Medicago truncatula: one gene and its partners. The protein of the gene in region 1 interacts with the protein of each later gene in a pairwise test. Links are inferred from orthologs where the notes say so. Each region holds a gene or a part of one and is shown in the gene's direction. Other genes may lie near its edges.

The links. The genes of interacting proteins can lie anywhere in the genome.
Region 2: the proteins of growth-regulating factor 5 (region 1) and ethylene-responsive transcription factor 12 interact in binary tests that used the Arabidopsis thaliana proteins (3 or more experiments, as listed by UniProt). The link is inferred for Medicago truncatula from reciprocal best matches to the Arabidopsis thaliana genes GRF5 and ERF12.
Region 3: the proteins of growth-regulating factor 5 (region 1) and shaggy-related protein kinase eta interact in binary tests that used the Arabidopsis thaliana proteins (3 or more experiments, as listed by UniProt). The link is inferred for Medicago truncatula from reciprocal best matches to the Arabidopsis thaliana genes GRF5 and BIN2.

Annotation. Positions count from the first base shown.
Region 1 is NC_053049.1:7,193,731-7,201,093, reverse strand, and holds growth-regulating factor 5, read left to right. Parts: upstream 1-4,439; 5' UTR 4,440-4,791; coding exon 4,792-4,975; intron 4,976-5,106; coding exon 5,107-5,608; intron 5,609-5,877; coding exon 5,878-6,230; intron 6,231-6,418; coding exon 6,419-6,426; 3' UTR 6,427-6,850; downstream 6,851-7,363. UniProt on the Arabidopsis thaliana protein: Transcription activator that plays a role in the regulation of cell expansion in leaf and cotyledons tissues.
Region 2 is NC_053043.1:4,049,069-4,055,348, forward strand, and holds ethylene-responsive transcription factor 12, read left to right. Parts: upstream 1-4,860; 5' UTR 4,861-5,033; coding exon 5,034-5,552; 3' UTR 5,553-5,770; downstream 5,771-6,280. Other genes in the region: receptor-like protein 4, read left to right, coding at 603-674, 752-829, 964-1,145, 1,276-1,403.
Region 3 is NC_053043.1:5,064,039-5,071,434, forward strand, and holds the start of shaggy-related protein kinase eta, read left to right. Parts: upstream 1-4,386; 5' UTR 4,387-4,564; coding exon 4,565-4,579; intron 4,580-5,609; coding exon 5,610-5,702; intron 5,703-5,839; coding exon 5,840-5,899; intron 5,900-5,976; coding exon 5,977-6,249; intron 6,250-6,333; coding exon 6,334-6,408; intron 6,409-6,509; coding exon 6,510-6,566; intron 6,567-6,941; coding exon 6,942-7,082; intron 7,083-7,211; coding exon 7,212-7,358; intron 7,359-7,396. UniProt on the Arabidopsis thaliana protein: Negative regulator in brassinosteroid signal transduction pathway important for plant growth. May be also involved in auxin signaling pathway. Phosphorylates and increases the degradation of BZR1 and BZR2/BES1 by the proteasome.

The DNA of each region.
Region 1 (7,363 bases):
AACATTGATTTCATATATTTGGCCCTAATTTGGAGCTGCATAGACTAGATCCCACCACACATTTACCCATCTTTCTATGGCATTGGCATATTTTTACTATAGCGCATGACGTTTCAATAAATAATTAAAATAAAATAAAAACACACTTTAACTCATGGTGGGAGTGTGGAGATGCGGATAACACTTTGGTGATATTGATCAATCACAATATCATAAGTGTACAAAATGATAAAAAATTATGACTTTCTTCTTACTCACTAACAAGCATTTTTTGTCATTTTGCACACTTGTGACATTGTGGTTGGCCATGACATTGGCACCTCAATATCACCAAAGTGATGTCCGTGGAGATACTAATTTTCGAACACACTCTTTAAAATATTTGAGTATTTTTTTCATAAAATTGTCTCCTTTACAATAATTGGTTTTGCTATAAAAAAAAAAAAGCTTAGTGGTGTATTGCTCGATTGTCTAATATTTATGTGTAACTTGAAGTTAACTTGTAAGTGTGATTTTGAGTTTTGAATTTATCATACAAACTTACTTAATGTTTTTTTTAAAGGAGAAATTCATTGCTTCTTATTATCAATCAAAAAAGAAATACATGACGGTACATTATCATAATCATGGAAGCTAGCATGAGATGGGGCTACCTTAGTTAATGCATGAGTGATCCCATTGGTTTGCCTCCTATTGAACTCGACATAAGAGTTCTGAAAACTAATCTGAAACAATTGTTTACAAGCATGCATAATACATCCAAACTCATTGTCATTCTCTAAAGAAGACCGAAAATGATCAACCACTATGTTAGAATCTAAAGCAAAGTCGACATTATCATAGTGAAGTTCCGCCATCCATTTCAACGCCGTATGAAAGCCTACGGCCTCACCCACAACAACATTACAAAGAGGGGAAAAACAATATGTTTTAGCACTAACAAATTCGCTCCTGTCATCACGAAGACAAATCCTGATACTCACATATTCATGGAAGAAGAAAAGGAGGAATCAATGTTACATTTATACCTACCATAAGCCGGCTTCGACCATTCCACCACCATACTATCGCTAGAATTGCCTTGGTGCGTCAAAGGTACATCTTCTCTTTGCAACCATATTTGTTGGGCTGATCGCCAATCATCCAGGGTATGCTTTGCACGCTCCAATACATGCATGATCGTTTCATTTTGCTGCTGCCACAATTTCAAATTCCTACGCTTCCACATACTCCACATAATCGTCACAAATAACTCTCTTTGGACCAAAGGCAGCTGATCAAGAAGAGTAAAAATAAGTGCATCCATATTATAATTTTTTCGGAGAGTTCTGTCAATTGTGTTCCATAATTGAACCACACGCCAAGCTTGCCTTGCAGTGAACATTCCAACAACACATCAATATTATCCTCATAGTTAACTTACTTTAATGTTAATAACTAGCTAGCATAAATCATTGTATATTCAACTAAATTTTAATCAAAATAATGTGTGTTTGAATTAGTCTTTAATTTAGTATAATTAATCGCAATATGTCACCATGACTTTGATAAAATTTAAATTTTGGATGCTAAAAGAAAAGCATCATAATGAGCAAATGAAAAATGTGCAAGAAATCCAAAACTAGTTTAATATATTAATGTATATGATGCTAAAAATATTATATTATATTATAATTACAAGTGGAGAAGTCCTGTGCATAGTCTCTGATGATTCCAGTCAAAGAAAAAAACAAAAGGCACTCAGGTGATCTTTTTAAGCCTGCAATGTAACAGCACAGAATCAGCCAGCAAATAACAAAAAAAAGAAAGAGAAAAGCTGAAAGGAAAATGTTATTGAGGAAATTTTTGGGTTAATCAATATGAAAGGTTCAGTTAGGTGTGTGAAAAATAAAAATAAAGCATGTGTTTTGGGACAGAGAAACAGTGTCTGTGAATAGTTTTAACCCTCAGAGTGCACTTTCCTGACACCTTCTGTAGAAGAAAAAAAAAAAAAAAAGACAAGTGCTTTCAATTGCAAAACAACAAGAAGCACGAACCAGCTAGATAGTCTTTTACTTCCACTGTACCAACCAGCATCAGTGAACTTCAAAAGTTACATCATCATGATGATGATAAATAATGCTTATAACTCTGAAACACTGTGTGTGTGAGGGAGCAAAAATAAATAAATATAAAGACCTTTCACTTTGCTGCTATATTGATATTTGTTTGACATTCAAATTTGTCATGTATCTTGTATTTTTATATGATATGATTAGTTACCACAAATTAGGAGTTTATGAAGCTTGAACGACTGAATTAAACAGCATGTATTCCTAATAAGAAGATATAATATAGCATGTAAAAAGAGAAGAGGTATTTATATTAGTAGTTTTCAAATCATAATTTTTAAAAGTAATAAAAGTTGTAATCTTCAAGTTGATTGGTTATGAGGAAATTGTTGGTAATATAAGAGATTTGACTTATATACTCAATCTTTAAATTTTGGATAGAGATGTGGTGTTCAGTCTCTTACGGATCCTTGATCATTGACTCGTTGTTTTTCTCAGCTCTCCTCTAGAATCCCCAAAAACTGGTATGGTAGCCTTGATTCAACTTGATGGGGAGAGTGGAGGTGGAATCCTAGTGTTGGATCCTTGTATTGAAAGTCCTCATAGAAAACGTGTTATGTTGGAATTATGTAGTGCAAATATAGAATGTGGGAGACTTGCATTTAAGAGAAGATTGTTGGATTCGAGTGTGAGTGGTTTCCCACATCCAATGTAGTTGAGTTAAATATTAGATATATAATAGGTGTGACTCATATACCAAACGTCTTAAGATTTCTAATAGAGATTAGTTGTTTCTCTACCGTGGTCATGGATCATTGGTTCTATTGCTCTTGACGCTCCATCAAACACCTCAACAAATGGTATTAGAGTCTTAGTTCGACTTAATTGTGGAGTTGGAGTGGATCATGATGTTGGATTCTTGTATTTGAACTCTTTCTCGCATTGTAGTAAGGGCGTGTTCTATTGGTTAATAGATGTGCAAGTATAGGATGTAGAAAACTCACACTTGAGAAGGAGATGGTTGGACTCAAGTGTCTCACATTTATTATATAAATGAGTTACATATTAAATTTATACGAGAGGTAAACCATAATATATACTTTATGCGTTGAGTTTTTAGTAGAGATTTGGTGTCTTGGCATTCCTTGATCATTTGCTCGTTGTTGTTATTGGTGGGGAATGGATCCTCTCCGGTGACTGGAGGGTCCAATGAAATCTTCTCCATTAAAAAATAAATGCATTTGAGAAATTAAATGTTAAAATCAAGAGAGAAAAAATATTTAATGACTTAAATGCATTTGAGAAATTAAATGTTTAATGACTTAAATTAAATGTGAAATTCCTTATTGGAATTATTGTATGTGTTGATATTATAAAATTACAAGTAATTTAGAAAGAAGTTGTATCAAACTTGATATTTCTATTCAATCTGAAATTTAGAAACTACAAAATATAATCCAGACATGTACTTATAACATCTTGTTTAATTCATCTTATACCGTATTAGAAAAGCCTCAAACAATGATTTGGCCAAAGCCTATTTTTGGTAACCAAGCTATAACTTTAATATTTAAAAAAGGAGAAGTGAAACACACACTTACTGTTATTCCTATATGGCCCAAAAAGATGATGTATTCATCTTGTGGTTGAAGAAATCATATTAACAGCCAAACATGTAAAGGATTATCATGACATGACTGTACCCAATGAAACATAAGAGTCCAAAATTGACTGTAACCTAATTTCTATCCTTGAAAGTAAGATGCCTAATGGTGAGAAAATGTAACAAAAGATAACACATCATTCCGTACCTAAAAAAAAAAAAAAAAAGGATTCAGCTTTAGCCAATGACCTCCCATATCTATGAATAAGATCATGCCAGGCATGCTTAAACCAAAAAAGATTATAAATGACACGTACTAGACTTTCTTATATTCAAAAGCTATACCATATCCTAAGATTGTTAAAAGAGATTTATACCACCGACTACAATTGCGATTGGTATGGTTAGACTTTTTGCTCACATTCGTCGTGTGACTCAAGCTTGAGTCTAAACTTCTATAATTTCTTATAGATTAAGGACTTTTTGACCTCTAATAAACACTCCAAAATATCTTACTTTAGGTTTAGATCTTTTGATCGTGCTATATAACCAATTCATAAGTTGATAATAGGATGTCCTTATTGTTTATGCGAGGTTGGAATGTCTCTCAAATATTAAACTTCAGGAATCAAATTTATATTCTTAATCTAAAAATTATAAAGAAAAAAGGAAGAGAAAAAAAAAATTGATGCTATATCATGATATATGATAAAATAGGCAGTATAGGTAGCTAAGCAGCTTACACTTGACATAATCTGATGGCACTGTTTTCAAAGAATGATGTGGAGACAGCAAAACCAAAGGTGCATGGACTAACATGCATTTGCATTTAATTTTTTCTTTGTACATTAGTTTATGAATTTGTGTAAAAGATGTCAGAGACAAGGGCAGCAGCAGCAACAACAAAGGCAGGTGCAGAGAAAAAAACAGAAGCATCACAGGTTCAGTCATTATAAGTTCAGACTCACTATCTCACCCATCCACCACATAGCAAAAATTAGTGAAGAGGTGGCAGAACACAATTTTCATATTCATTAACTATTATCCATCCATGCACAGTACAATAATCTCCAACCCCTCTTAACCCTCTTAAATAAAAGCATCTTCAAGAAAATCCTTATTTTTGTTTCTCAAAAAATGATGAGTGCAAGTTCAAGAAATAGGTCACTTTTCACACCAAATCAATGGCAAGAACTTGAACAACAAGCCCTAGTTTTTAAATACATGGTTACTGGAACACCTATTCCACCAGATCTCATATACTCTATTAAGAGAAGTTTAGACACTTCAATATCTTCAAGAATCTTTCCTCATCCACCAAGTAAGTATTGTTATAACTCTTTTTATTATATTTTATGATAAAAGAAATACTATATACTTTATGTTGTTGTTGTTATTATATATATGTGTATACTTTATATTTGTTTGTTGTCATAACTGTGAATGGTGCAGTTGGGTGGGGATGTTTTGAAATGGGATTTGGCAGAAAAGTAGACCCAGAGCCAGGGAGGTGCAGAAGAACAGATGGCAAGAAATGGAGATGCTCAAAGGAAGCATATCCAGACTCAAAGTACTGTGAAAGACACATGCACAGAGGTAGAAACCGTTCAAGAAAGCCTGTGGAACTAGTAGTTTCTTCTTCAACAACAACACCAACAAATAACACAAACACAGCATCTTCTTACAGCAACAGAAACATCTCCTTGAACAACAACAGCAGCAGCATAAACTCACCTTCTTCTTTCCCTTTCTCTACTTCATCCATGGCTTGTCATGATCAGTCACAATCTTTTTCACAATCCTACCAAAACTCTTCTTTAAACCCTTACTATTACTCTCAATCAATTACCTCTACTAAACCACTTGATCATTCTCATTTTCAAACTCAAGATGCTACTACTCATCACCTCTTTTTGGACTCAACATCTTATTCTCAGGATGACAAGGACTTTAGGTATGTATAAAACCAATAAATTCTAAATTGTTTTTTCAGTTACGCTGCCAACTTTTATATTTATATCTAATGCGGTTGAAATTGCAGTTGTCATACCGTTATAGAGACCTCTAAATATATTTATATTACGATTGCAGACTACAATTTAAAATCATAATAAACATATATATATATATATATATATATATATATATATATATATATATATAAAATTGCTAGGTTTTGATATTTTGTTGTGTATGTGTTATTGTACTTGATTGTTGATAAAGGAGGCAAGTTCAAGGAATAAGAGATGGTACTGTGGATGAGAGAACTTTCTTTCCAGAAGCTACAGGTTCATCTAGGAGCTGTTATCATGATTCATATCAACAACAACTATCAATGAATCCCTTTAAGTCTTACTCAAGCTCACAGTTTCAGAATATCAATGATGATAATTCAAGACAACAACAAGAACAACACTGTTTTGTTTTAGGCACTGACATCAAGTCAACAAGAACAACAAACAAGGACAAAGAAAGTGAGACAACTCAGAAACCACTTCATCATTTCTTTGGTGAGTGGACACCAAAGAACACAGATTCCTGGCTAGATCTTGCTTCTAACTCCAGAATTCCAACAGGTTGATTATCATTTATCATCATTCCTATGTTTTTGTTTTTTTTTTGTTATTATTAATATAAATATTATTATCCATAAAGTTATTTAATATTATCACACTTTACTAGCGTCTAGATAGGCACTTCTGTCTATGTCTGTCCGCTTTTTCTACTACGCTAACAAATTTATATACTTTATTATCCTTGGCAGATGAGTGAAGTTATTATTTGATTAAGAATTGCTGGTGGATACTGCCAAGAGAGAGTTAAAGATCAAAATGTTATGTGTGGCTGGGGTGAATTTTCTTTAGCAAAAGGTGTGATCTTTATTGTGTTATGTAGGGGACCACATTAGGATTTTTTTGTGTGTCTTGATGATATATTTTATTATTATTATAATATGCTTTGTTTCTTCAACATGAAGAAAAGTTAAAAAAAACATGTCTCAGATTTTCACACTTAAGATGTTTGACTGGAAAGCATATTAAGTTGCTTATGCAGTCTACTTTTTTAAATGGGTGGTAGTAGCAATAGCAATCAATCAAGGACAAATTTAAATTAACTTTCTGATGCTTGTGCTTGTATGTTGTGATGTATGGACCCAACAGCCAGAAAACATGTGCAATGAATATTTTGCAATATATTTACTACTGTTTTAAGATTAGGTGGGGAGAGACTGAGAGAGACACTTCCCCCACATCAAAATTCTCTATAACATATATCCAATTGATTGTAACTAGAGTGGTTGTAAGGTTTCAAACTTTGCATCAACACCTTATATTGTTTCATTCATTCACCACCCTTAGGATATAGAAATCAATGTGGTGTAACTAGGTACATGTTTAGCTTTATAATTTGCATCCTTCACTTTGGTTCCACTTCTAGAGGAACTAGAATTGATTCTGAATTGTTTAGTTATTGTCGACTAGAATTGATTCTACTTGAAACTAAGATATGTAGTTTTTGATTCTAGAATTGATTTTCACGCACAATTTTATAATTTGATTCATTTTTACATAAATTTGACTCATTTTTACATGAATGTATTCAAACACAAATCACTTTTGGTCAAGTTATTTTTAACCAAAATCAATTCTTTCCACACACAACCAAACTTCTATAACATCTTACTTTATAAACTTTATTAATTATTTGG
Region 2 (6,280 bases), on another chromosome or scaffold:
CTGGCGTGTTTGGAATTTATATGAGCTCCGTTCCTGATACTAGTTCTTCCATGAATTAAAAAAGATTGCAGCGGCAAGACATGATGAGATTGAAACAAGAACTTTTAAATGTAGTTTTTTTCATTCACAACATGTATTTGTTACTCCCTATCCTACTCTTATTTTCTAGTTATTCTCGGCTATTTCCTGCTTGAATTGAAGCATGTTTTGTTCTTGAACTATATATCATATTTAAGGCTCAAACATAAAGAACAAAGGTCAAGTAAAATTTATAAAATAGCAGTATAGTGAATATTCCATACTTTAAAGTTATTCTAATTAGTAAAAGCTAACAGGTAAGTCTTCTAAGAAGCAAATCAAATATCTAAATAAAAATATTAATGTTTTGGGTTGTAGCTTTAGTTCTAAATACTGAAAAGCCAACAGGGCATAAGATACTGAATTTGTTTGTCAGTGACTTGTAGAACTTAAGTGAATCAGTTTCTTCATACTTTGATTTAAACCGCTTGAAATTAGATAACTGTTAGATTACTGGAGGTTGGAATCTTGATTTTGCTATCATGGTAAATATCATTTGTGATTTTTTTTTTGTGCACATGCAGTGACCTGTCCTACAACGTTTTCAATGGATCGATTCCTGATAGCCTTGGACAATTGACATCATTAAAGAGATTGTAAGACTCTATCTTTTAACTTGCCCATATGACGGATAAGAAAACTGTAAGTTCATATTAAAATAATTACCATGCAGGAACCTTAATGGCAACTTTCTGTCCGGAATGGTACCGGCAACTCTAGGAGGAAGGCTTCTGCACAGAGCTAGCTTCAAGTATGTTGTGATAAAAGTCTAGAATAAACTTAAGTTCTATTTATATGCAAAGAGAAAAGAACCATATCTACATGCTATTTCTCCCCTTTCTTTATGATTAAGGTTGCTAAATAAAAACATGTGGATTGCTGCAGTTTTACGGACAATTCGGGTCTGTGTGGTATACCTGGATTACCTACATGCGGACCTCATCTTTCTGCCGGTGCTAAAGTTGGCATTGGCTTAGGTGCTTTTTTTACTTTTCTACTTCTGATTACCTGTTCAGTTTGCTGGTGTAAAAGGCGGAAGAATATCATCCGGGCTCAGCAAATTGCAGGTAAGGATGTTAATATCTTAATATGCTGTTACTGCATTGAGCTTTTTCTAGATGTATATGATCTTGTAGTTGTACATGGATAGTGTCTTAATTTGAAATCACAATAATATATCTCTTTTTTCTTTTATAGCGAGGGCAGCACCATATGCACAAAAGAGGACCCATTTTTCACGCGATATACAGATGACGAGGCATAGTAATAATTATGGCAATTCTCATACTGCTGCGGAGAATGGACCTATCTTGCTTGGAGGATAGCATTCCATTTATTCTGGTATTTTTGGAAAACTATCCTAGCATTCTTCACTTTCCCATCCTCAATTGATTTGATTTTTTTTTCATTCAATAATCGTATTTTGATGTATGTATGGCAGGGGTATTCTGATGGCTGTACTGCACTACCTTACAGGCTGAGAATCCTACTAATTTGTAAATCACAATTTTGTACATTACATGTTTACTTTTTTTTATTACTCATTTTACGTTTGAACTTCAATATTTTTTTAGTTTGTTGATAGAATATTTGTAACAGTTCAAAAATTAAAATGTAAACAGAAATCATAATATTCTGTGGAGGATAAATGAGGGCTACTTTACATAACAGCTGCCCTGGTACATTCATTTATATTTGTTTAATTTAAATGTGTGGATCACTGTTAGAGCAGCTGAAATTTGGTATGTACCCATTAAGGGTGTTTACCTATCATTACTCTTTTGTTTTTAAAGAACTTATTAGTATACTTTTTTTATAAGACAAGACCAAAATGACATCAAAAAAATAGTGTCCAACTAAGTTGGAACACTACTCTTTTTTTTTGTGGTAGCCGAGGTCCCAACCCCGGACCTTACATATTTTATGCATTGCTCATATATATTATTAAAAAAAGAAAAATTACATAAAACCTGATTCAGTTAACAACTCTAACAAAATAAAATAAAATATGATAAAATAAAAATTTCAGAAAGTGGATTCAACCTTAATCAAATCTAACAATTAAGCGCGGGTCTAAATATAAAATACGAAAGATTAACCTTAAATAAATATCTCAACAGGCAATAAATAATTTTGGTGATAATAACATAATAAATTTATTACTTTAAACATTTTTTTTTAATATCCGCGGTTTTGCATTCTTATAAAAAAGAGATGGAGAGTGTAGGAGTCTTAATAGCCCGGACATTTTCCTTAAAAACTACTCCCTCCATTTCAAAATATAAGCAAAATTCATATTTTAGGTTCATTTATTTAATGATGTATGTGGTCCATAATTTATTTAATAATGTATGTGGTCCATATTATGAACCACATACATCATTAAATAAATAAATCTAAAAAATAAATTTTTTTTATATTTTAAAACAGGAAAATAAAAGTGACGTATAGAAACAAAAACCGAGTAATTTTTAATAAAAAAAGATGAATGAATTCACGTGACGATTATTATTACTACACACATCCGTATCTGTAGGCATACACAGTGTGGCCATCTGCTAGCTGCAGTCACTCACTCTGAACCTGATTCATCACCCACCCATCCACCCTCCCAGTCCCTGACTTTCACCACTCACTGATCTCACTTTTCAATTTTCGTCCTTTTTCTTTTCTTTACTCCACAAAAAATAATACTCCTCCGTAGCAGACTTATTAAAGCTAGTACTACAACAGAGCCCAAGCAACAACAACGTAGTCAAACACGCCAACAAGACCATAAAAAAGAAAAAAATAAGCCCATTTTCTCAAGGTGGCCCAATTTCACCTGTTCCCTGCTACTCAGACACCATTCCACGTGGGAGTCTCTCTCCCTGCACTAACCTAACCCCACATATTACCCTATCCAATCATATTTATCCACCTCATCTCACCTTTCTCTTTCATTACCACAACTCAAATTCCCATAATACCTCTTTATTTATTACAAACTCCCCCTCCAATCCAATAAACCACTATTCATCTCCAATGACACATCTCAATCCCCAAAAAAACACAAACATTAAATAGAATATTTTTTGAAATAAAATTCTAAAAAAAATAAAAAAATAACTTATGCCCTCAAGGCAATGTAAAGTTGAACATAATTTGTACCAAAAAAAAAAAAATTGAACATAATTGATATTTTAATGTTTATTTTGTGACAACTTTTAAACAATTTTATCTCTTATACTACCTTCGTCCTTTAATGTAAACTCCCTTTGCTTTTTTTATATTTCTTAAGAAAAGTTATTAGTGTAATTAATGTTTCTGTTTTCTGTGTTAATATTACTAAATTGTTCTTTGTTTGTATGTGTATTAAATTTCAAGAAAACTAACACTTAATGATTTGAGGTATAATTTTTTGTGTTCTCCTTAAAATAAGTTTCATGGAAAGATGTAAAAATAATTCTCGTTGGTTAAAAATTATGGAGAAAATAAAAAGGAGAATAAATTGAATGCAATTTGCATTTAATTTTACATTGAAAAAGATGTTTTGTTTGAAAAAACATAATAATAGCATAAAAATTGATCTTTTTTGCTTATATTTTGAGACAAAGAAAATAAGATTTTTTTGCTTATATTTTAGAACGGATGGAGTATTAATTAAAGGTATGTTTAGAAAAAAAAATAATAAATGCATCTAGTAATTTAGAAAGGGGATTACATTTAAGGACTAAAATAAAATCAAATGGATGTTTAGATATAGAGACGGAGGAGTATTTACATTATTGTTTAACTTTCTCTCTTCCTTTTTTTTCTTTATATAGTTTTTGACTAATCAAAAAAGAAAAAAAAAGTTTTGACAAATGGTTTTACACATATCATTACTAAAAGATGAAACAAAATCTTAAAAACTATGTATTTAACTCAAATTTAAATTTATTTTTGAAATACAAAATAATTCTTTTAATTGTTTTCGTAACTCTCTAACTTGTGCCTAACAACATAAGTTAACATGACAAAGCAAATCTTAGTGAGGTTTTTTGTAGTTTTTTTATTTGAAAGATGGTTTTTTGTAATTAATTAATCTAATATTTAGAATATTATTTTAAGATGAATAAATAGATTCTTTAAAATTCAAACACCGCATGTTACATCCTTCAAAAATAAAAAACACCGCATGTTACAATGAACTATTTCATCCAAATAAACTATGCTCCCGAAGACAAAAATATTATTAATAATTCACCAACGAAATTTAACATTAGCAATGAAAGTGGAATATGATTACATTATGGTTTTTTCTAGATTACCTTTGAAGAATGGTGGGTAATTTACCCACCAACCAATGAAAATGAACAATTTGTTGGTGGGGTTAAGATAGTTCATGGATACCACTTAAAAATGTGCTTATGTGGCTAATGTGTATTGGTTGGGGTAAATTACCCACCATTCTTCCATGGGTACCCTAGTTGTCACCTTATATTATTAGGTAAATTAAATAAAATTACGGATGAGTATAAAAGATAAAAAAAAATGACAGGAGTAGTTTGAAAAAAGTGTCAGGCGCCGCTGAGCAAACACCGTACAACAACAGTAGGGCATACGTCACGCTCCTACAGCCCCCACTTCCTTCCACCCCATACGTCTTTTCAGCCGGCGGCTATCCCAATAGGGTCCCACCACTTTCTTTCATCCTCACATCATAGCCGTCCATCAGTATCAACGGCTCCCCTTTATTTTATCCAAATTTGCTTCCCACCTCGTGTGGTTTTTTGTGTCTATATATACAAACATAATCACAAACCAAAAATCAAAACCAAAGGGTGGTAGTAGTAGTATTGTAGTGGTGCCGGCCAGCCGACAATTACGGGAGCCAATGTGGGTCCCTTCACTTTTATAAACTCAAATCACTTCTCACTTCACTTCGCAAACCCTTTCTTTTCTCTCTTCTTGTGTTGTTTTTCTTTGTTTTCATGGCTTCTTCTTCAACTTCTTCAGCGAATCGTGAAGGACACTACAGAGGTGTTAGGAAGCGACCATGGGGACGCTACGCCGCTGAGATTCGCGATCCGTGGAAGAAAACGCGTGTTTGGCTGGGTACATTTGACACTCCTGAAGAAGCTGCTCTTGCTTACGACGGCGCCGCTCGTTCTCTTCGTGGAGCTAAAGCAAAAACCAACTTCCCACCGGCGCCGGTCGCCGGAGGACTTTGTTTGGATCTCAACGCTCCTTCTTCTGATCTCCGATGGCCATCTGTCCCTTCACGTGGCCGTGTGCTTACTGAGTTTCTTCAAACTGGTGTTCTCAAGGATTTCAACCCTCCTCCACCTCCACCCATCGGCGGGGTGGTTGGACAGAGGCATAATGAAGTTACTCTTGCTGTCGCCGGCAGAACTATGGTGGCTGAGAACTCTCCGACGGCGGCTTACTTGGGACTTGTTCGACGTGGGATTCCGATTGACTTGAATGAACCTCCACCGTTGTGGCTTTGAAAAACCCTAGACAAATAAGTAGCGTAAAATGAGATGATTTATTGTAGTTTTTTAACGGCGTCGTTTTAGGATCTTATCTAATTAATCTTGTCTTTTTCTCCCTTATTAGCGGCATAGTTATCATGAGGGAGTATCTACCTATCTTATCTTTGTAATGTATCTATGGCAATCTAACATTTAAAAAAAAAAAAATGAAGTACTTTATGATATTTTATTTATTTATTTCCATATTAATTGATGTCTATGACTAGTATGAGTGTTATTGAGCTAGATTCTCACGTTGAAATAAATGCTATGGGTTCACATCAACTATTCTTTTTCATATGACACTTTGCTTGGCAAATTGTAGTTTTAATAATGGGTATGATGGACACATTATGTAATCTTTGTCCAAAATATTTGAACTACTAGTAATAATAGAATCTAAAATGTTTTACGGTTTGGAGCATTTGGAATGTTGGGCGGCAACCGACGAGGGAGTGACACCAGTAAATTTGATGCTGTTGGTTTTGGACCACGTTAGAAAACAACGGCGTTGTGTAAAGGGAGTTTGGTTTCACGCGCGAGTGGGTCTGGTTTATGCTGAGAGCGGGAACTGCGATGCGAGCGTGTGGGTATCAGCATGATGGCATTCCTTTTCTAGTCAGAGATCTGGTTCTTACCATTTTGGCAGCGTATATTTTCCTCCACTTTTAGACCCACTCACTTTCCCAAGCGCGTCTCAGTTA
Region 3 (7,396 bases), on another chromosome or scaffold:
AAGACCCACCGACACCTCCTCACACCACCAAAAATGTGGCCTACATCACCACCTCACACACCCATCACCTCCTCCACATAGATCTGGATTGGAAGGAAACAACCACCACACAAAAACACCAGACAATTTGTATTTTTCTAAGAGCCGCAAACTCAGCACACGCAAGGAAGAAAACAACCGCAACTATTGTACTAAAACCACCACCAACACCTCCTATTACCTCCAAAACCGAGACTTACCTCACCACTGTCACCACCTCACACCACCATCACTTCCTGCACAGGGATCTGGGACAAAACGAAACAAACACAAAAGAGCCACTACGAAAATCAACGCCAACATATACCAACATATACGAAAACCACCCAAATCTGCCATAACAAACCACCATCAACCCCACCACCATGAGTTGCTACACCACCATCATATGGATCACGCAGAAGAGGAATAAAACCACCGACGAGAACCGCTACGACGGAATGACTACAACACAAATCCGGACACCAACCCACGAATCCAAGGCCATCACCACCGAGAAAGGGTGTTGCGCAACCCATATCAACCACCAAACCACCGCCATCTTGGAATTATACCAAAGGCCGCTGGCGGTCTACGACCACCCCAACATAATATTGACACTTTATAAAAAATAATATTGGAATGATAAAAAATAATATTGACACTTTAATTGCATTTCTTAATCCATGTGTATTTGTTAGAATGACATATAAAATGGAACGGAGGAAGTAGTTTATATCAAACGTGTTTTTAAATGTTGGATTGCCATTCGTCTTGGCCCAAACATATACAAAGTAACATTTGATCTATTAGTTGTCCTATCTTAGAAACTTTTTAGCACCCTGGTATAAAAAGCTTAGAAAATTCCTATAATTGATCAATAACCTAACATTTTCTACTTTTGGCCCCCGTGATATTATATACTTTATTGTTTTATTTTTGAAAGACTTGCAAAAACATGCTATGAAAAATCAATAGCAAAAAAAATTCTATTAATACAATGTCTATCATGATGACACATCATTTCTTAACATATTATAATTCTTCTGAAGTGGTGATAGATTTGAGAGAAGAAAATTTGGTCTAAAAAACTAAACTCAATCCACTCTTTAATGAAAGCTATATGTGAATTTATGTTTGATCATTTTTATTACCACTTATAAAATTCTTTCTTTCAAAAAAGTTTATCGGAGGATAACTTATATCTTTTTATCACATTTTATTTCTTGAACAATTTATTAAGGAAAACATGCAGTAATGAAGCACAAAGTTGTGTGCATTGATTGATCTTGATCATAAATCTTAGATTGGCCGGTTCATATTACACTCATGTAAAATCATCTTTAAATAATCTTTATTGTTGATTTAAGATTAAACGACCAAATGATCAAAAGTAACAAAAAAAGACCATATGATCACATAATTAATGTGTGGCATCTGAATTACATGGATGCATCATATTTTTATTGATAGTATTTTAGCAATTATATACTCATCCGATGTAATATTTTTGCTGTTATAAACAGAGTTTGCATGCAATATTATTTCCCTTGTCTAGTATTGAAGGTGGTTAATTAATTGAAATACAAAACAAAAAATAAACGTACCCAAACTTTCTATGTAAATTTGATTATGGTAAATTTAAAAAGAAAATTCAATCTAAGTAACTTTTCAAGTAGTACAAAGATTTGTTAAAAAAATAGAGTAGTAACTATTTCACAACTGTATAATTTTAACTATGTAATTTTACATGAATCTAATCTATAATTATGTTCCAATTGTGTAACTATTTCACAAAGGCAACCATATATTGGTACACATTCTCTCAAAAAAAAAAAAAAAATTGTGTACACAATTTTTATCCCTCTTCTTTATACTATTATATTAACGGAGAAATGGGTAAGTTTTGACATTTACTATTATGAGTTGTATGAAATGTCCCTTACATATGATTATCACTAACGAGTTTGTACTATTTCTTTTATTTACATTTAATGCATTCTTCTTTGCTTCTTCTGGGAATATTTTTCTCTATATTATTTCTATTCCTAACTTATATTTTTTAAAGAGAAAATGATGCATTAGATTATGAACAATGTTCTATAACAAATACTAACAACAATTTTAACATAGAAAGGAGAAGGAAGCTATGTTACCAAAGTTGCACTTGCAAATATATGGTCATGATCAACTGTTGTTGACTATACCATTTCAACAATAAGATGCTAAGAGTTGTGTGGTTAAAATCATAGCTAAAAAGTTTACATGTAGTTACTAGTTAGACTTAGATATGAAATGAGATTTTATGGTGCCGTTTAGTTATGAGTTTGAATGGTTGAGTATCACTTCGTTGTTGGGAACCAAACACATTTTTAATTAAAATTTATCCTCTTCTCTCTTTTGAACCAAACATATATTTAATTAAAATATCTCCCCTCCATTTTCTTTCACTCCATTAAAATCCATTCCCTCCTCTTCATTGAACCAAATATACCCTTATAGCATTTTTTTAACAAATAGAACAAATAAATTTTGTATTATTAAATTGGTTGTCGTGATTGCTATTATTGATGGTTATAGAAAATTTAACAATACGCATGTATTTATACTAGTTCTAAGCCTCGTTTCGGAAAGAGTTGTGTTATTTAAAAAACTATTTATATGACAACTTTTGAGACAACCATAAATTTATAAAAAAAAAAGTATCGACATAAAAGCCAAAACAATAGAGAGGAAAAATAAAAACATAACATGAGTATGAAAGAGAAAGTTGTCACAAAAGTTGTCAAAATATAATTGTACAAATATTATTTATCTTTTGAAAAGCACGAAGTTATTATGCACAAATCTAACCTCCATGTGTAACTACATCCGACAACCACTAATCTCCAACACAAAGCCCCTGTTTGGTTCTGCGGTAAGATGCCTCAAACGTGCGTTTTTCACTACAAACGGGATTTCATGACACTTGAAGGATGTTTGGCAAGCAGTTGGAAACATGATTCTTCCTTTCAAAATCGATTCCAGTTGAAGCTACCATGTGTAGCTTTTGCGTCTGACTATATAATCAATTTTATGGAAATCACAAGATATTTTACAGCTCTATCCTTTTCATCCCGCGCTTATTTCTTTCTGTTATGTGCTACAGTGTCATTGTCTAGAGGTTAGTAGTGATAAAACTAAGAGAAATGATATTTGAACATTTTTTTTTATAACTTTTGTGACAACTTTTTCTCTCATACTCACATTATGTGTTACTTTATCTCTCTATTGCTTTGATTTTCGTGCAAATACCTACTTTTTCTTTGTAAATTATTGTTGTCACATAAGTTGTCAACCAAATAGTTATTCAAATAACACTTCTCTAAAACTAAATGGCTCTGAAGTCCCATCATTATGTTGAGTCGGTTGCCTTTAATTTTTTTTTCCTTTCTTTATATTATTACCTTTTACTTAATCAACATATTTATGTTTTACTTACTACCCAATCAACGTATTTGACAGTATTTTATTAATCAATTAACATAAAAAAATAATTAAAGAAGATGTAACAAGAAAAATGTATCAATCCACTATATTAACCAAAATAAAAGAAAAACTAATTAAATGATTGAGAAAAAATTTACCAAAATAAATGAAGGAGAGAAAAAAAAAATTAACAAAATAAATGAATGAGAAAATTGATCTATATGTTAAAACCTATTTTGGTCATTTCCACGCTCAAAAGCAATTTTGACACAAAATATCCAAACATCATCTTACATACAAATCAATTTTGCATTGAAGGTATTCAAACACAAACCACTTTATGTTAAACTCACTTTTAACCAAAATCAATTCTGCAAAATTAATTCAATCAAAATCAAATTTTGCCACCGCGTAATCAAACACACGCTAATTCAAAATCAATTTATATGTAATCTCAAAACCAAACATACGCTAGCTTTATTAAAAAATTCAACAAAATTTATATACAACCTATAATTATAGTATTACCGATTAAAACTCGATCAAGTATGATTATAATTTTTTTTAGATAAACAAAATAACAATAGTTATTAAAAACTCACTCATAAAAATAAAAAAATTAAAGTTCAAACTTCGATCACCACAATTAACTTAACATTTTCGTTGTTATTATCTATTGAGAGATGACATATTCATATGAACTCAACTTTCAATCAAGTACTAGTATAGTAGTATTAAATTAAACAAAAAGACATATTTTTTTGACCGACAGATTAAATTAAGCACGTCTAATGATTGTATTAACAGCAAATTGTTGATAATCAACAAAGCTGGTCAATGAAAATAGCAAAAGTCCAAAAAAGAAAATTAAGAAAAAATAATAACAATAAAGAAAAAGAAAAGGTAGACAGAAAAGAAAGGGGAGAGAGAGAAGAAAAAGAAGAGCTGGAATCACATGGACTTGTCTTTCCCTTGCTGGGTCCTCCATTCTCTTCTTCTTACTTTCTCTTCCATTCTCTTCTTCTCTCTTTCTTAGATTCATTCTTCTCTTCTTTCTTCTCTTCCTCCTCCTTCAACCATGTCTGAGGATAAGGTACTTTTTTGTAGCATAAAAATCCCCTTTTTTTTTTTAGCTTTTTTGATTGGTTTGTGAAAAAACTGTGATCCATGAATGCTAAAATTGAAAAAAGTTGTGATTTTTATTGTTTTTGTTGGATTATGAAGCTGTAAATTCATCTGGGTTGTGTGATTTTTGTTTAATTTTTTTTTGTTAGTTGATTAAGGGATTGTTAGGGTTTGTTATTTTGGGGGAAATTTGATTTGTTGCTAAATTTTTTTTGGTCTTTGAGGTTAATAGAGAAAACCCATTTTGCTTATTTTGAAGTTGATCTATGGGTTTCTATGAAGTTTTAATTTTTTTTCTTTATTGAACTGGATTTTTTTTTAATTTTTTTAATTTTTAAGATTTGTTTGTTGCCGACAGTTATGTTATAATCAGATCATGTTCTTATGTTGATGTTGGACTCTCAAGGTTTTGTTTTGTTTGTTTGTCATGAATCTGTGATTGGTTGCTAGTTTTGCTATATGTGTAGTTTATCAGTTTGATTTGCGATTCTGATGAACATGTTTTGGTTCAATTTGTTGTTATCTGTTTCTATCTGTTGTATTGTTTTGAAATTTTAAGATATTTTAGCAAAATATTTTGTTGTGTTGCTTTTTTGTTTCTTACTTCAATTTTTTCAATAAAAGTTTGTCAAAAATTAAGTTTGTTTTCTGGATTGAGTGCTGCTATAGTTCTTGGTCGCTTGGTCTTTAGTTTTTAGCATCTTATTTCCTTCATGGTCGTCTTTTTGCGGTATCATCATATGTTGCGTACCAGATTTGTTTCTTCATGTTATATCTTTTAGAAACTTACCTTTTGTGTTTTTGAGTATGCTGTTGATATGTGATGGTTTAATTAATTGTGTATCTTGTTCTTCATGGTAGTCTTTACTTGCTATTTTTGATGTGTTCATCAATTAGTTAATCATATTGTTTCTATTTTTAACTTCACTTTGAAATCAAACCATCTATAAGTATTTTGTGAGCAATTCCAAATTCTTATGTTCCATCAATTTCAACAGGAGATGTCTACTTCTGTTATCAATGGGAACGATTCCCTCACTGGTCACATTATATCTACAACAATTGGAGGCAAAAATGGAGAGCCAAAACAGGTATCATATTCTGTAAATCCTGTTTTGCTGATAATATTTCAATTTTGAGATTGAGTGATTTGCCGAGTTGTTAACAGTTCCATTTGATAATTTTTCCTGGATTCCAAGTTTGACATCTTGTTCAATGGTTCTTGTAGACTATTAGTTACATGGCAGAGCGTGTCGTAGGAACGGGATCATTTGGAATTGTTTTCCAGGTATGCTAAAGCTAGATTCCTAATTGTTGTTGTCTCCACCATTTTTTTTTGCCGCATGCTGATTTTTCTCTTCTTAGGCAAAATGCTTGGAAACTGGAGAGGCAGTAGCCATTAAGAAGGTTTTGCAAGACCGAAGATATAAGAACCGTGAACTACAATTGATGCGTGTGATGGACCATCCAAATGTGGTCACTTTGAAGCATTGTTTCTTTTCAACTACAAGTACGGATGAACTTTTTCTGAATTTGGTGATGGAATATGTTCCAGAATCCATGTATCGGGTCTTAAAGCACTACAACAATGCTAATCAGAGAATACCGATCATCTATGTAAAACTTTATATGTACCAGGTATGCCTTTAACTTTCTGGCGAATAAAAAACTTCTCTAATTCATTCAGTCATTGGCTGATATAAACTTGTGGTGGGCATGCAGATCTTCAGGGGGTTGGCTTATATCCACACTGTTCCCGGAGTTTGCCACAGGGATTTGAAACCTCAAAATATATTGGTATGTTAATATGCTGTTGCTGGATATACATTTAAAGTTAGAACTCTTTCGTAAACGTAGTAGTTACTTCTGGCCCTGATTTCATTATGTTTGTTCTCCAGGTTGATCCTCTCTCACATCAAGTTAAGCTATGTGATTTTGGAAGTGCAAAAATGCTGGTATGTTGACCTGCTCATCATATTTTAATATGCCTAGTTTTCTTTCTTTGGTGTGCACCTGTATTTTTTTTCCTTTTAATTGAGTATTCAGTAACATTATTATTATTATTAATTGTTTTTTTTCTTTTCATTTTGAGTATTCAGTAACTTAGAATGTCAACCGATAATCAATCAATTTTCATAAAGTTTTGACACTTGTAGATGAGATGTTTGTAATTATTACACTGTGTTGATGTCAGTTTCTTTGCATGATGTCTTTCGCTGCTCAACAGCAAGCTTTGGAGTCTCCCTACACTCTTATTTATTTATTTTATTTCAAAGAATTCATAGTACTTTCATATGGTACTGATTTTAGATTTTTTTTTCTTTGTTCAGGTCAAGGGCGAAGCTAATATATCATACATATGTTCTCGTTTCTATCGAGCTCCAGAACTTATATTTGGTGCCACAGAGTATACTACTTCAATTGATATTTGGTCAGCTGGCTGTGTCCTTGCTGAACTGCTTTTGGGCCAGGTTTGTGCCATTATTTTGTTTTCATACTCACAGTCATCACCATCATCATCTAGTGCAAAATGATGTATTTCTACTAGTATCTTCCACCTATGACCTACCTGTCATCTGATACAATGCTATCTTTTGTAGCCGTTATTCCCTGGTGAAAATGCAGTGGACCAGCTCGTACATATTATAAAGGTGCTTGGAACACCCACCCGGGAGGAAGTACGCTGCATGAATCCCAATTACAATGACTTCAGGTTTCCGCAAATAAAAGCACACCCATGGCACAAGGTCTGCTTCTCTCTTCTTCGACTGCTGATTTTTTAGAT